Linked DNA regions of Stegostoma tigrinum. The protein of the gene in region 1 purifies or fractionates together with the protein of each later gene. This does not show direct contact. Links are inferred from orthologs where the notes say so. Each region holds a gene or a part of one and is shown in the gene's direction. Other genes may lie near its edges.

Evidence for each region. Proteins that work in one complex are often made in the same cells at the same time.
Region 2: the proteins of ksr2 (region 1) and peptidyl-prolyl cis-trans isomerase FKBP5-like purify together in Homo sapiens (affinity purification with mass spectrometry; 3 studies listed by BioGRID and IntAct, with this or other methods). This does not show direct contact. The link is inferred for Stegostoma tigrinum from reciprocal best matches to the Homo sapiens genes KSR2 and FKBP5.

What each region holds. Positions count from the first base shown.
Region 1 is NC_081379.1:34,739,240-34,746,847, forward strand, and holds the start of ksr2 (kinase suppressor of Ras 2), read left to right. Parts: upstream 1-4,552; 5' UTR 4,553-4,772; coding exon 4,773-4,949; intron 4,950-7,608. UniProt on the Homo sapiens protein: Location-regulated scaffold connecting MEK to RAF. Has very low protein kinase activity and can phosphorylate MAP2K1 at several Ser and Thr residues with very low efficiency (in vitro).
Region 2 is NC_081374.1:42,890,121-42,897,714, reverse strand, and holds the start of peptidyl-prolyl cis-trans isomerase FKBP5-like, read left to right. Parts: upstream 1-4,525; 5' UTR 4,526-4,747; coding exon 4,748-4,858; intron 4,859-7,594. UniProt on the Homo sapiens protein: Immunophilin protein with PPIase and co-chaperone activities. Component of unligated steroid receptors heterocomplexes through interaction with heat-shock protein 90 (HSP90).

The sequences.
Region 1 (7,608 bases):
TTAAAAACAATCATAATTAATGCCATCCCTAATCACAAGCACTCAATATTTCATCGTGGATGTTTTGTCTTATATTGTGGTTACTGTTTGGGGATCTGTAGATTAGCCCACAAGTGACTTATTTTCCCTAATATTTCTCAGATTCAGCCAAACCAAATCCACACCTATTCCCCTGAGCCAAAGCTATCTTTAACAATTGAATCAATACTTTGATTAGGAATAGTACACTTCTGCGTAACATTGCATTCTTCTTGAATACCGTAATTTTCAATAATCTGAAACCAATGCTTGTCAACCTGCAGCCACATTTCCAAAGTGGCTTTCAGATCATATTTATTCACTTCAATGTGCACTCTCAACTCATTTAATTTGTTATTACACATATTCAAGTATAGAACATTTAGATTTTTTGTTATCTTTGCAGCACCTTGTCCTAACTACAAGTATAATATTGGGTTTTCCCTCTCCTTCTCCATTCTTGCCTTGATTTTTGAGGTTATTATTTTGTTTAACTGCCACAACTCTACCCTTGATTTGTTACATTTACCGAAGCCTGATCCCTCACTGCCCTGGCCCTCACATCCTTAGTTATGTGAGCACACCAGATCCAGCATGATCCAGGTATGGACCATCTTAGCAATACAAATCCCACTTTTCCCCAGTACTGGTGGCAGTGTTCCATGGACTGGAATCCATTGTTTCCACACTAGTCTTTGAGTCACACATTCACTTCTATAATTTTGTTCATTTTTTGCTACTTTTCATGTGGTTTGGGAAATAATCCAGATATTATCATCTTTAAAGTTCTGCTTTGTAATTTAGCATCTAACTTCTCATACTCCCTTAGCAGAACCTCTTTTTAATTCTACTTATGCCAAGTAGTAGTCTAAAGGATTACTAAATCCTCGCTCCCACTGTAATTTTTTTTCTCCAGAGCAGGTATCTTGAACCCTGGCACTTCAGAAAATACAGTCAATGACAGTCATGCTCATTGTTGCATAGAAAAGTGTATGACCCTTCAGTATCCTGTCCTCAACTATCACTATGTTATTTTTCTTCTCCTCTCTTAAATGGCTTCCTATACCATGATGCTGTAGCCATTTAATGCATTCATCCTGCTGTCCTCCGTCATTCAAAAATAGCTAAGAAAACCCTAAACCTGTTACACAATGGCAAAGGTTGAGACTCCAGCTCACCAGGTCCCTTACCTGCCTCACTTTCAGTCACACTGTCCTGTCCCTGACTTCTGACTTAATCAGAAGGTCACCTCTTGAATAAACTATCCAAGGAACTTTCCCTGTCCCTGATATGATGCAGCGCCTGAAGCTCACCTTCCAGCTCAATAACTGAATTGAAGTTCATGCAGCCACAGCACTTATTGCAGATGAGTTAACCCTGGATCGTATTAGCACTCAGAAGTTCCTTGTATTCTGCAATTACAGTACAACATTAGCTCTGCCACATCTAAAGTGTTAGTTAATTAGTGATTGCTAATTAACTCATTTATAATTAAGACATTATAATTCTCCCCGTGTCTGCGTGGGTTTCCTCCGGGTGCTCCGGTTTCCTCCCACAGTCCAAAGATGTGCAGGCTAGGTGGATTGGCCATGCTAAATTGCCCGTAGTGTTCAAGGGAGTGTGGGTTATATGGGGATGCGTCTCGATGGGATGCTTCAAGTGGCGGTGTGGACTTGTTGGGCCGAAGGGCCTGCTTCCACACTGTAGGGAATCTAATCTAATCTCCTAAAAAGTATTAACCCTGCCAGTAAACTTTGCAAACAGTGACAAAACAATACAATACTTACAATTCTACTCATTTGTGCTGCTTAAACTATGAAATCAACTGCTGTAGGGTGAAAAGTAATAAAAAGACCTCTTCCCCACGCTTCACCAAGCTCCCAACTAAACATAGATAATGGGAACTGCAGATGCTGGAGAATCCAAGATAATAAAGTGTGAAGCTGGATGAACACAGCAGGCCAAGCAGCATCTCAGGAGCACAAAAGCTGATGTTTCGGGTCTAGACCCTTCATCAGAGCTCTGTCTCATGCAGACAAAAACTGCCCCACATTGACTGTGTTTCTTTACTTACCTCTATGTGGCACTGCATAAATCTAAAATTGTATAAAACTATCTGTTCTAGCCAAGTCATATATCTCCTCTGCTTACTTGAAAGAGAAAAAGATACATGTAGTGCAACAAGAAAACTAATAGAGCAACCATAGGAAGACTACTCAGACTATTTGAAACAAATCAAGTGTATTATTTCATAGTAGAAAGTGGAATTAGTTTATCATTCTCCACACTATGTGACACTTGTGCAGCTTATCTATTTATGTTAGAAGTATGTGGAAGAAACATATTTACTTATTTAACAACAATTGGTAAGGAAATTTGTGAAGGAAACTAATCAGTAATAGTTAAATTCACCAAATTTTCATTTTGTCTATAATTTTAAAAGTCTTGACAGTTAAGTCTAGTATCAGCAAAATTGATTGTTATGCTGTTGATTTTCTTTCTAATATTCCAACAAGTTCATAAATGTTATTTATGGTAGTGATCTCCTGCATTAACTAGTTAAACACTTTATGAAATAAACTGCAAATCACTCAGAGGTTAATTTCAACAAGAAATGGGAAATAAGTACCGATCTGTGATTCCAACATTTCCAGCACATTCCGTTTTTAATTTCTTTCAGTGACTAAATGCAGACATCTTTCACATCCAAGCACCCATTCCATGTAACTATGTAACTTCTGCCATTGTAAGGAATGTCATATAAGTTTCAATGGTGTGTTATAAAGACATACAAGGCTAGATATTTAATGTTTATGGTTAAAAATAAATTGGGTATACTATTGTAAATAGTAGCAGAGTAGCACAACCCCACTAGTCTGTAAAAAAAAAATTGTGATAAAGTGATCTCATTACTGAAAACTTAAGACAGTTATAATGAAAGAAGACTATTTGTCCATTCTATAATATGGACAAATAATACACATTTTAACCATTAGAGGGAATAGTCTGCAAAAATCTGGTCTTGGTTTCAAAAATAAACACTTGGATAGCCAGAATAAACACCAATCTACCAATGGCACATGTTAGGAAGGTACTTGTCGCGTTCAAATATCTAATAAAAAATCCTTTTGAAAAACGGACCTTAATAAAACACAGAAATGATAGATGTCCTTCCAGATCGAGTCAGTTTTGCAACCTGATTTATAGAAATAACTATTTAGGTTTGTCCTTGTTCACTAAAAATATCATAGTAGTAGAAAAATTATTGATAAACAAGGGACATATTACTGGAACTAAGATTTACGCCCTGACCTTTTAGTAGTCAATATTGATTTCAATTTCTATTTGCTATTTTTGAATTGTGATGTTAATGCAACAATACTTACGATTTAGGCTTATTGTGCATTTCCTGTTTGAAAACTAAACTTTTTAGGATTTTTTTTACAGTTTATTTCTGCTTTGTTCCCACTCAGCTATCTTTTTTTATCACATAGTTAGTGAACACAACATCAACTACTGATCTAGGTATCCAATACGATAAAGGGAAAGTAAACCCTCTAATCTCACTTGATGTTTGTTAAGTTCAAACTTGTACACAATAACTTTGCACTTATAACCAAAGTCAAATATGCTTATATTTGTCTCATAAATGACATTATGTCACATAATGATATTTATGTCTCATTATTTATGTAGGTATATATACCAACGGGGTTTCACTCAAACCTTGTGTATAAATACAATTATAAAATTATATATAATTATTTATAAATATATTTATGTCATAAATATCATTTATGTCTCTCAGTATTGTAGGATGCATTTACATTACATGCTTAGTGTTGATGTAATGCAGTTTCCACTTGATGCACTGAATACTGACGCTAATCAGAATTAAATACAATAAAGAATGAAAGCCTAGCATGATTCTAAATTGATGCTTTTTGAAGGAGGACATTTCAGTTTTCTTGCAATCAGCAGCAGGCTAGACCTTTGTAATCAGAGGCCCCTGCTCTGAACTTTCACCACAGCAACGGTGATGGGAAATGAAATACAACCCTCTTCCCCCTTATTTAAGTATAAACGTTCGCATAGCGTCAATCGCACCTTTCGAATGGCCACCTTTCAGTTCAAATTCTACCGGTTCGTTCTCAGTTATCATTAGTGAGCGTCATGAACATATTTTGATTTTAGAACAGTTGCAGAATGTACTAACGAATCTCAAAAAGCGGCAAGAAATTTCCATTAGTCGCTGGGTTTTTATTGTGATGTGGCCACACATTGAAATCTCCGCCAGCATATTTTACGAGTGAAGAATTTTGCATTGGTGGTCAAGGTGCAAATTGTGGCAGATTGAACTGAAGTGAACAACAGCCTACACCGACAGTGAACTTTCTTCTGCTGCTGTTTTCAGAGCTTTTTGCAACAATTTCAATCGCGCATCTATCTCGCGAGAGCTGGCGCACTGCCTCCCTCCCTTTGATTGACAACCAAGATGTCGGTGGAGAAAGAGCTCCCCGGTGCAAGCTGTTGGGAACGGCGACAAAAAACACCTGCAGCAGTAGCGCGCAGCTCTTCGTAGCATCAGCAGCACAAGCTGTTTTATTGAGCAAGGCCACTGTCTCCAGTCCGTTTCTATCCAGCCGCATGGAGCCAATTTGAAACACATCTTCAATCCATTCAAGATTTATTATTCAACATTGCTGCTCTATAATAAAATATTTCTTTTTCTCAATTTCAATTGATTTCCAGCCATGGATGAAGACAATACGGCAAAGAGCGAAGAACAGCAGCTAACTTTGCAGAAAGCATTACAGCAATGTGAATTGGTCCAAAATATGATAGACATCAGCATCTCAAGTCTGGAAGGGTTAAGGACTAAATGTGCCACATCAAATGACCTCACGCAAAAAGAAATAAGAACGCTGGAGGTAAGGAAAATAACGATAACAATGAATTGACATATTCCCCCCTCCTCTTCACCCCCACCCCCCAAATTTGCTTGTATCCGCATTGAATTTTAAATAAAATGATGTAAGCTTGATATCTAAAGAAGGCTGCATGCGTTTTAGGTGACTGCTGTATTTTGTTTATATACAATGGTGTTTGCAGTGTTATAAATTAAGGAGCTGCAGCAGAATGAAGCGAGTCTGCGCATTCTGCAGGTGGTGGAAAGGTGGTGGGTTCTGTGTTAAAAATGTTGGGATTATTCATTTATTTATTTACGCTCATTTGGAAATAACTGAATACATGACATTTCGAGAAATCCTGAGTTGCATGTTTTGCATCGATGGTTCTTGATAAGGATGTGATACCAGCTGAATAATAAAGACGCTGATTTAAGAGAACTGACACTTATTATCTACGTGCGGCTCAGTATGAATTGCAAAGCGTTACATGGCCATAATGAATTATATATGGTAAGATATTTATGGGGCTCCTTGTCCGTTTACGGACCTGTCATTAACGGATAGAGATGTTAGCTCCCTGACGTCTTTCCATATCTAATACACATCGTGTCTAGGACCAGTCACACTGATGGTGCCTCCGTAGGTGGGGAATTTTTCGGCTCTTAACTTCACAGGGATTCAAATGACTGCGCTGTTAAAGTCTGACTTATTTCTGTACTTCTGAATCATAATGGTCGGTTCAAGTTTATGCTCGTTTTAAGTTGTGAACTGAAATGCTTCAAAATTCTCATTAAAAATACACGATTTTCATTCTAAAGACCGGTTTAAAGATTAACTTTAGGCTTTCTACAAATGATTATTCTCGAAATACAGACATGCAGGTAGCACCTGGAATGGAAATTAACGTTTTATTTTCAGACCAGCGTATTGATGTTCTCACTCGCATTATCTTGGGGACTACATATAATATTGCAGATTGCATGTTCCTGAAGCCTGCACCAATATTTGACGCGGATTGCTTTACAGTATTTCCAGCAGTGCTACATTTCTGGGCATACATTTCTGCGCTTTGTCATGCTGGAGAAAGGTACTTGATAGCAACAAAGCAACGGTAGCGTTAAACGTAATTCCAGAAAGTGCATCAGTCTGGATGTTGAAGTTTCCCAAGGTACGCAGAGGTTAACACAACGCCTGGCTCCTCGTTTGACTGGCGACACCTACCGTTCACCCTGCATCCTGAAGAAGCTGCAAAACAGCATTGAGCTTCTGGGCACAACCGTCCGAATGAAATCCTGGATAGCGCGTCATGACTTGAAAGCAATTTCATTGTAATAATCTGCAAAATTAACTATCTGAACTAACCTGTGGAAGGCGATAGGCATTAATTGACTTGAACTGTTCCTGTTACACCTCTTACCCGAAGGACGGGAACATGACTGACCAGAAATTGATAACTTGTTTCGTACCTTAAACCTAAATAATTATTTTTCTGATTGATAAATTCATATATTTAATATCAGGTGTTACAAAGCAATTAGAAACGCTATTTTTCCACGTTAGATTTCGTTGAAAGAAAATACCTTGTTAGACTTGGATTTGTTGTCTTAAAAATGCAGTGTATTTGAAAATTAAGCTTACCAAATCTTGTATTGGACCCCTCATTAATCTTAAATTATCATAGTCTTATATCAGTACAAATACATCTGGAAATATCATCTTTATATTTCAGAAAACAGTAACAGGTGAAAAGTATTTTGCTGAACTATTGTTGATGAGCTAGGAGCAAATTACTGCAGATACTGGAATCTGAACTGAAACCAAAAATGCTGGAGATCACAGCGGGTCAGGCAGCCGTTAGAGAGCAGGTTGACGTTTTGAGTCGACATCACTTCTTCAGCTCTGAAGACTCATCTAGTGTCGGAACGTCAGCTTGCTTTCTCTCCATGGATGCTACCTGACCCACTGTGATCGCTAGTAGCTTCTATTGTTTTCAGTGTTGAAAATGAGCTGTTAAGGTTGGGGTAGTTTTGAAACTGTTCGCTAAACAGTCAGCAATCTTTTTATTTCCACTTTTGGTCAACAGTAGCAGAAGCGATGAGAAAGTTCAGGAATTAATGGTAGTTGACCTAAAACGTGGAGTATGTAACAATTTTCCACATGCAAATTAAAGCATTTGCTGCTCGTTACTTCGAACCTCGACTGTGAGAGCCTTCCCTTAAGGCTTGAATGTGTAATAAAATGCGGTTAGAAGCAAGTTGTGTTGCCCACGCTTTTTTAAAAAAAACTTTGTAGCCGAAGTTCCCAACCTCGTATCAGGCAGATATGTATGTGAGTTAAAATGATGCAATAAGGCTACGTCCTGTCACAGTTCCAATGGCATACAACCTTTAAAGAATGTCAAATTGCAATAGAGAGCTACTCTACGATAAATTAGCACGACAGCCCGATCACAGAGCTTTAAATATTGCCATCATTTTAAGATGTTCTAAGAGCATTGTTTTGCATCCTTCTAAGATTTCCAGTGTCAGGTGTAAAATTGGGTCCTAACTGGCTATTTTCATGTGGCTTGCAGGGCCACATAGAATTAGTGCCAACGAAGTGCTATCATTCTTATGGATAGGTGGACATGCAGATCAAAATTATAATTAATGTGTTACTCTTATTTAGTGTGATGTAGTAG
Region 2 (7,594 bases), on another chromosome or scaffold:
CATCCAAAGTCTTCATTGAGGCACTGGATACAGGCAAGCAGCAATGGCCAGCTATGTTTCAAAACTGCATTTATCCCCAGTGGTGAGCTTATATTCTTGAGGCCCCAAAGTATCCAAACTATCTAGTAGGGAGGGGAAGGTGGATAGTTACAGTGCAGGGAACCACAAGCATAGAAAGGCTGATTGAAACTACTGTTTAGCTGCTAATAGTTTTTAACCTGTGTTTAATTTAATAGTGTATTTAAGTACTGTTTTCTGTATAGTTGATAGTTTTAATTTTACTGTTATGTGTTTTTATTTCTTATAATGTACTCAACCTTTGTATTTAATAAACACAGAGATTCTTTTTGCCCCTAAAACGCCCGATGACTGCCTTCATTTCACATTCTCAAACTAAGTCCAGTGTCAGAAACAAGGATCTGACAGTAATATGAACCACCTAAAAATCAACAGATTACTGATCGCAAACCAGAATCCCTACAAAACTCTTCTTTACGTTCCACTAAGAGGTCAAATGGGGCCTCAGCAATAAGACAGCATTGCTGTCGGTGTTATACTTCCTGAGCCAAAGCCTTAAACTCAAATCTCCGGGATGAGAGTTGAACTCACAACCTCCTGACTCACCTTGAGCTGAAGAAGAAACGATCTCCTCTAGAAGATAGGATTTTTTTAAAAAAGGACCAGCTGCCTTCAAGCTACTGAGATGAGAACAAATAAATGTAGAATTATAGCATAGAACCTTTGCAATGGTCAGCTTGATGGGCCAATGGGCACTAAATTTAAATGGGTAGCCTCTACTAGGGTCTTCCAGTGCTGATTTCTCTGTAATGGCTTCTGCCAGTGTAGGCTGCTTCTGTGAGGCCCACTGCATCCTTCTGAGGATTATAATCCTAATACTGTTTGGCGTACTCACTTCCTGAAGAAGTCAGTTTAATGATTCAAGAACCTCCATATAGGGGTCCCATCAGTAGCAGTGGCTTTATGGGGTTGAGGACAGTGTGAGACATAACTCACACTTCCCTCTTTAAAAACTCACCAAAATTCAATTCAAGACCAAGCTTGGTATATTGAGTACCAGTGGAGCTCCAGACTTTGAGTCAGTCTGACTCGTTTATATCAGAGGCCCTTTTTTGCAGAATCTTTCCAATGCCTTTTGTCCCCGTACAAACATTTAACATGTTAAATTGTTCTCTCATTTTAGGAAACAGATCTATATCTCATTCTTTACTCACTCAGCAACAATACATTAGCTTGCTACCCACCACATGTAAGAAATAATTTCTCTTTTGTAATCTGGGTGACCAACATTTGTAATCATACTGTTGCTCATCATATACCTGTCTAACTGATCAGTTCCAAATGACAAGCTTCAACCTATTTTCTGCACAAATTAATGATTTAATTGACTGCAATAGCTTACTGTACTGACCATTGTGCATTGCTCAAAACAAGACAGCACATTGTCATTAGTGAAGAATTTACACAATGCACACACAGGGGCGACTGAGTCATAAGGATCAGCTATTAATTATTAAGTACATGACAGTTTCCTGGATTTTGGATTTTGCATGCAGCAGGAAGTGTCTGACATCTCAAACAAACTGCATATGAATCAACTGAAAGCCTATCCATTTCAAACAAAATAGAGAGATTGTCATAAAGGGTTTTCCAAATCATGATCTGTATGCCCATGTGTTCCATGCCAGTCTGTAGAACAAGAAAACTCCCCTCTTTTTTTTTTGTTTCTTAGGCGGAAGGATACAAACTGTCTGAGCCAGACAAGGCCGTTGTCTGACCAATGTGGCAAATGCCTCCAGATGCTACTGGAAGAGTCCATAAACAAAAACTGTTCAAGACTCTGGTGTTATAGCTTGGTACTGAAAATGCTGTTCTCCAATGGAAGTGTCTTTAGCCTCCTCCGCCAACATGCTTCCACAAGTAATACTCGTGTTTCCCTAAGTATTAAAAGGAGGCAATGGCCTAGTGGTATTATGGCTAGATTATCAATCCAGAAACTCAGTTTATATTCTGGGGACCCAGGTTCAAAACCTGCCATGACAGATGATGGAATTTAAATTCAATGAAGAATCTAGAATTAAGACTCTAATGTCGACCATGAAAACATTGTTGGAGAAAACCCATTTGAATCACTACTGTCCTTCAAGGAAGGAAATATATTGTCCTTACCTGGTCTGGCCTACAGGTGATTCAAAACTGACAGCAATGTGGATGACCCTCAACTTCCCTCAGGGCAATTAGGGATGGGTAATAACTGCTGGCTTAGTCACAGATTCCCATATCCGTGAATGAATAGACAAAGTACCTATAAATGTAAGTAAAGACTCCTGACAACCCCAGGATTGAAATATAGAGAATATGTCTTTGCTCTTCTAAATCTCGGCTATGGGTAATTTTTTTTTGAAAATCAACATGCTATGAGACAGCAAGTGGGGCTTGAACCCATAACTTGTGTAGTGAGACGTGGGAACAATACCTCTGCCCCACAAGACCACGTTAAATGAAATTAAAGTATAGCATTTTTAGTGCAAAGTTAAACTCTTCTACAATGACTTTAATCAGCGTATTTGGACATGTTATGACACATCTCCATGGCCACAATACAACACACTTTGTGCAGACTAATTATGGTAGAAAAGTCCTGAAAGAACTTCCTGTGATTTGTCTGATTAAAGTCAATGCATAACTGCTTGCACAATCTGGCTGTTTTTAAACTTTCAAATTTTGTTTATTTTTACCAACGGGAATCAGGTTAATTTGTTTGATGTTTACCATTAGCCATTTGAAAGGCTGTTGTTGCATTGCATTTAATGCTACACTGAGCAAAGGGTGAAAGCAAACTATTAACATTGTTTCAGGAAATTGAGAACTGTATTCCATAATATTTCTAATTCAGAATAGGGAAATTCAGTATTTAATGGTCTATCAAAGGACCACAGGTAATGAATTCCCTTGCTCTTTCTCAAAGGTTACAAACGATTCTGTCAATCAAATCCACTATCCCATTCTGGGGTCTTTGATCTGTACTAACGTTGCTTTGAAATCATACTGTGTCAAAAGGCTGTGTTTCCCGTATTCACTTGGAATTGCTGCTGCTCATTAGTAGCACTAGCCAATTGGCAACTTCATTTCCTATTGTCTGTAACCATTGCAATTCAAGTTTGCAACAAGCCAGCTTGTTTGGATTTGAACTTGTCTTAGCTTTTGAGAAATCCTGCATGGATCTCTGATATTAACCCTTCACAAGTTATTTAATGAAGGCATTAAACATTTACCAAGCAAAATGTAGTGTTGCTGTGTTATGGCCACAATTTCAATCCCTCTACAGAAGAGGTTGCTCTTATAGAATTCCAATGACTTAACTAAAGTTGGACCAGCTCTGACCGAGTGGATTTAGTGGAATTAAATGAAATGAAGATTAATTTTTACTTAGCAGGTAGATGTCAATATGAACTGGGTGAGTTGAACGGCCTTTCAACATATGTGAGTTTATGTGACAATTAATTCAAACCCCCCAAATCCCCAAAGTCACCACCCCTCCCCCCACCCCATCCCACACTGTGCAGACCAGGCATGCTAAACGATGTCATACTGAACAAATGTGAACTCAAGCCAAGCTATGCACTTAGCCTGATTTAGTCAGTATATTATGGCTTTGTTTTTTTATCAGGTTAGAGAGAAATGCCAACATCACAGTACCGTCTGTTCATTATCATATTGCTTCTTATTGTGAGTTTGATGTCTGCAATGCTTTCGACTTTACAACAATGGCTTCACTACAAAAGTATTTTATTGACTGTTTTGGGATAACTGGTGGTCATGAATGATGTTACATAAATGCAAGTCTTTATTTGAAGACACTACTTGAAAGCTGCTTCTTTGGCAAAGCCTTCGATCATTCGTCCTAATGGGTTGTTATCGGATCTCTCCTGTAGCTATTTAGTTCGAAATAGGTTCAGTTTTGTTTTCGCCTTCTATGAACTCTCTATTTTATCTCAGGCGTTCAACACGTTGCATTAAAACATGGGTTTCGACTCGAGTCTGGGTCCTAACCTCAGAGAGCTGTTACAAATAGAAAACCATGCAGCCAGAGCTCCTGTTTGTTTGATTTGAACTTGCAGTAAATGGGGCTTCATACCAGTAACATCATCCATATCACCTTTGTCGTTCATTGTTTTTGGAATGCTCTAAGACAAATCTCCTCTCAACTTGAGACAGCGCTTACGTGTCTTCAGGTCTGTCACAGGAAGCCAACCCGTGTCCTCCATGAATTTCACTGCCTATTTGCTCATTGTAATCTCTTGATCCCATCAATGATACATCTAATGATACTCCCTTTCTTGCAATTCTCTCTCGCTGGGATTCCCCCTTTCCCTGGGACTCCCCCTCTCTCTACACCTCCCCCTTTCTCCCCATCCCCATTGAGCAGTTGGAAGCCCCACCTCCTCTGACCTCGCCCCATGACGGCTATCCCCGCACCAGGACAGGAATAGGCCACTTTCACCCGCGCCACGAATGCTGGGATAGAGCTGTCTCCATATCTCCCGGAGAGCGGCGCTGAGAGGAGGCAGAGCGACAAGGAAGCGGCTCGGACACCGAGCTCTGCAGGAAGCAAGCGGAGCGACACCAACGCCCAGCAGTCTCCTAGTGGCCATAGAGCTGAGAGAGAGAGAGAGAGGCTGAGGGTGCAGCAGTTCGTGGAAACCAGTAAGTCGTACGCTTTGGCTGAATGATGACCACGGGTCAGGAACTAAAAGAGACTGAGCAAGAAGCCCAGGCTACGGAACTGGACCAGATAGCCGAGGACCTGACACCCAACCAAGACAGGGGGGTGCTTAAGGTAACAAATACAGGCATTTTCTCCGGACATTGAGAGAGAGAGAGAGTCGGACTTTCAGATGTATGGCTTTCATTGAAAAATCATCATTCATTTTAAAATTAACATAAAAGTTAGACTGCCCGTCTCAGAAAGTGACTAAAAATTAAATGAAGCAAATTCTAGACTATTTATTCACATTATATTGTAACTTTATCTGTCATAAACTATTTTGTTTCAATAGTGCAGCAGTGGTTGTCTAGCTAGTCCCATCTCAAAAACTGTTTCTGCTGTGGTTGGATCAGAAACGTACTAAATACGACCTTTTATATTATACATAGCCTACCCGCTTCGTGTGACTAAACCCACTCTGATTGGCACATTCTGTATGTCAAATAGATCAAATGTAGATTTTTTTAAACTCCATGTTTACAATTTCTTTCTCCATAAACTATTGAATGCCCACTCCGTTGTGTCCCTGACCGCTTTATGTTAACGTAAAGCCGAGACATTCCAGCCAATCACAATCGGGAAGTTTCACCGAAGTCTGGGGTGTTACTGAAATGTGAAACGAGAACTAGAGGTGATCGATGTTATTTTGATTTAATTCCGCTCCGAACAGCCCCTACTGTTTAAGACAGTCGCAGGTCCCCGGGCCCATTTGCGAAGCTGTGTGTACAGTCTGCACTCAGGAACCATTCCCAATTCCTCATGACACTGACATTCGCTGCAGATTGCTCTCTGGCCAGAGTCAGCGGTTCATCGAATTTTTTTCTGTCCCAACCGCCACTCTCTCCTTTCACCTCTTTCCAGCCCACTTTGGAGACTGCACTCAGAGCCTCCTCCTGTTTACTCTGGACTCCCGATCGCCAATTGAAACTCCAACTTTGTCCATTTAATGCATAGTGCTCTGAAGAAGGGTCACTGGACCCGAAACGTTAACTCTGTTTCTCTCTCCACAGATACTGCCGGATCTGCTGAGTCTTTCCAACAATTTCTGTTTTTACTTCAGGGCGTATGCACGATGAAGGACCTTTAATGTACGTACAGCATTCAAGCTGTCATCGCAGGTCCAGATGCGGAACCAGAGAGTAGTTTTGTTTTGAAGTGAACCCCAGCATTAGCCCCCGGCACCCCTCCCACCCCAGCCTATCCTCAGACTTTCCTCTTGAACTCCGGCTACAGCTCTCAAAGCCCTGGCTTTCTCGCATCACATGAACAGCACAGAGATGCGCGCCAGTTCAGGGAAGTGCGATATTTGTGGGGAGGAAGGAGTTGCACGCTGACATTACCAGAGAGAACAGAGTAAACCAGTTAGAGTGGAGCTGTTGAACTTACAGATTTGTTTGGTCGCTGTGTCTTCTACGGCTGGGGTCGCTCAGTGTTGCTGTTGAGTCCTACCTCCCTATAGACGTCAATGTGGTGGAGATTTGATGTCTCACCGACGATGACACGATTGTGTTACCTTTGGGTTTCACAGTACCTTGTACTCCATTTAGCTCTCTCAGTAATTCATCTCACTTCTGTTTTTACCCCGATGTCAATATTCAAGGTTTCATTTGTTGCTGTTATTCCAAGATTGTTGATGCCAGTAGGATTATTTTCAATAAGAGTGCTGGCATGTTTTGGGTAATTCTGGATCTGAGTGAATAAACAGTCTTAATGCCTCAGTATGTTTTTCTCGAACCTCAGTTCAATAATCGTATAGTGAGTGAAGCTGATACCAGGTAGAGTTTTATCATCAGTTTAAACATGTTTTTTTTCTCCATCTTGAATTAACTAACCATCTCAAATATCAACCTGCAAAACTCAGGTATGCCCTGTGCCTGACAAAGTGAATCTGATTAGTGATGACTTATGGCTCATGTGTCCATCTGACATCTTTCCATTGTTATTTAATGAGATTTAATTGTTGTTCTGGTAATCATTCCAAATTGCACCTGCCCTGACTTCAAAATGTCCCAAAACAATTTTGAAAGAGTGTGTCTCACTATAGCAATGTATTAAAATCAATTGCCAATTTGTACAGCGCAAACATTCACAACCAACAATGCGATAATGACTAGATAATCTAGTTTAGGTGTTGACTGTGGGATAAATGCCTGCTTGAACATGAGGGACACCTGCCCTCACTCTTTGAAATAATGCATCCTGTCTGGAGATTCACTCCACTGGTACTACTACTGAAAGTCAGCATTCATAATATAACATCCTGGGGTGGGAAGTGAAACCTCGATTGTCCAACTCAGAGGTAAGTTTGCAACTAAGGCCGAACGAAAGTTTCAGAGTAACTTCCAGTCAGCACCTGATTCATTTCTGTGTTTTGTATGTCTGAGTTCCTGTGGTGGTGGGGCAAAATCCCCTCCTGTGGCTCTCTCAAAGTTTCTTGAACAATTCTTTTTTTTTAGTGCTGTGCTGTTTTCATTGTACATTCTGAGTTGCTGTTCAGTTTTATATATATAGCATTTCTTTTATATAAAAGTTGCATACTCATTTTACATTTCCATCATTGACTGTCTTTAACTCTCTTCCAGCTTGAAATGTTGTGGTCCTTTTCAAAGAAATGATCCCTTTTGAACATTACTTTTCTCCACATGTTATCAATATTTAAGATTGATGCAGATTTTGTTCTTGTTATGCTTTCAGAGCAATAGATCATAGTCATGTTCTTAGCTATTGAGACGTAGTGTGGAAACAGACCATTCGGTCCAACTGGTCCGTGCTGAACATAATCCTGAACTAAATTGGTCCCATCTGCCT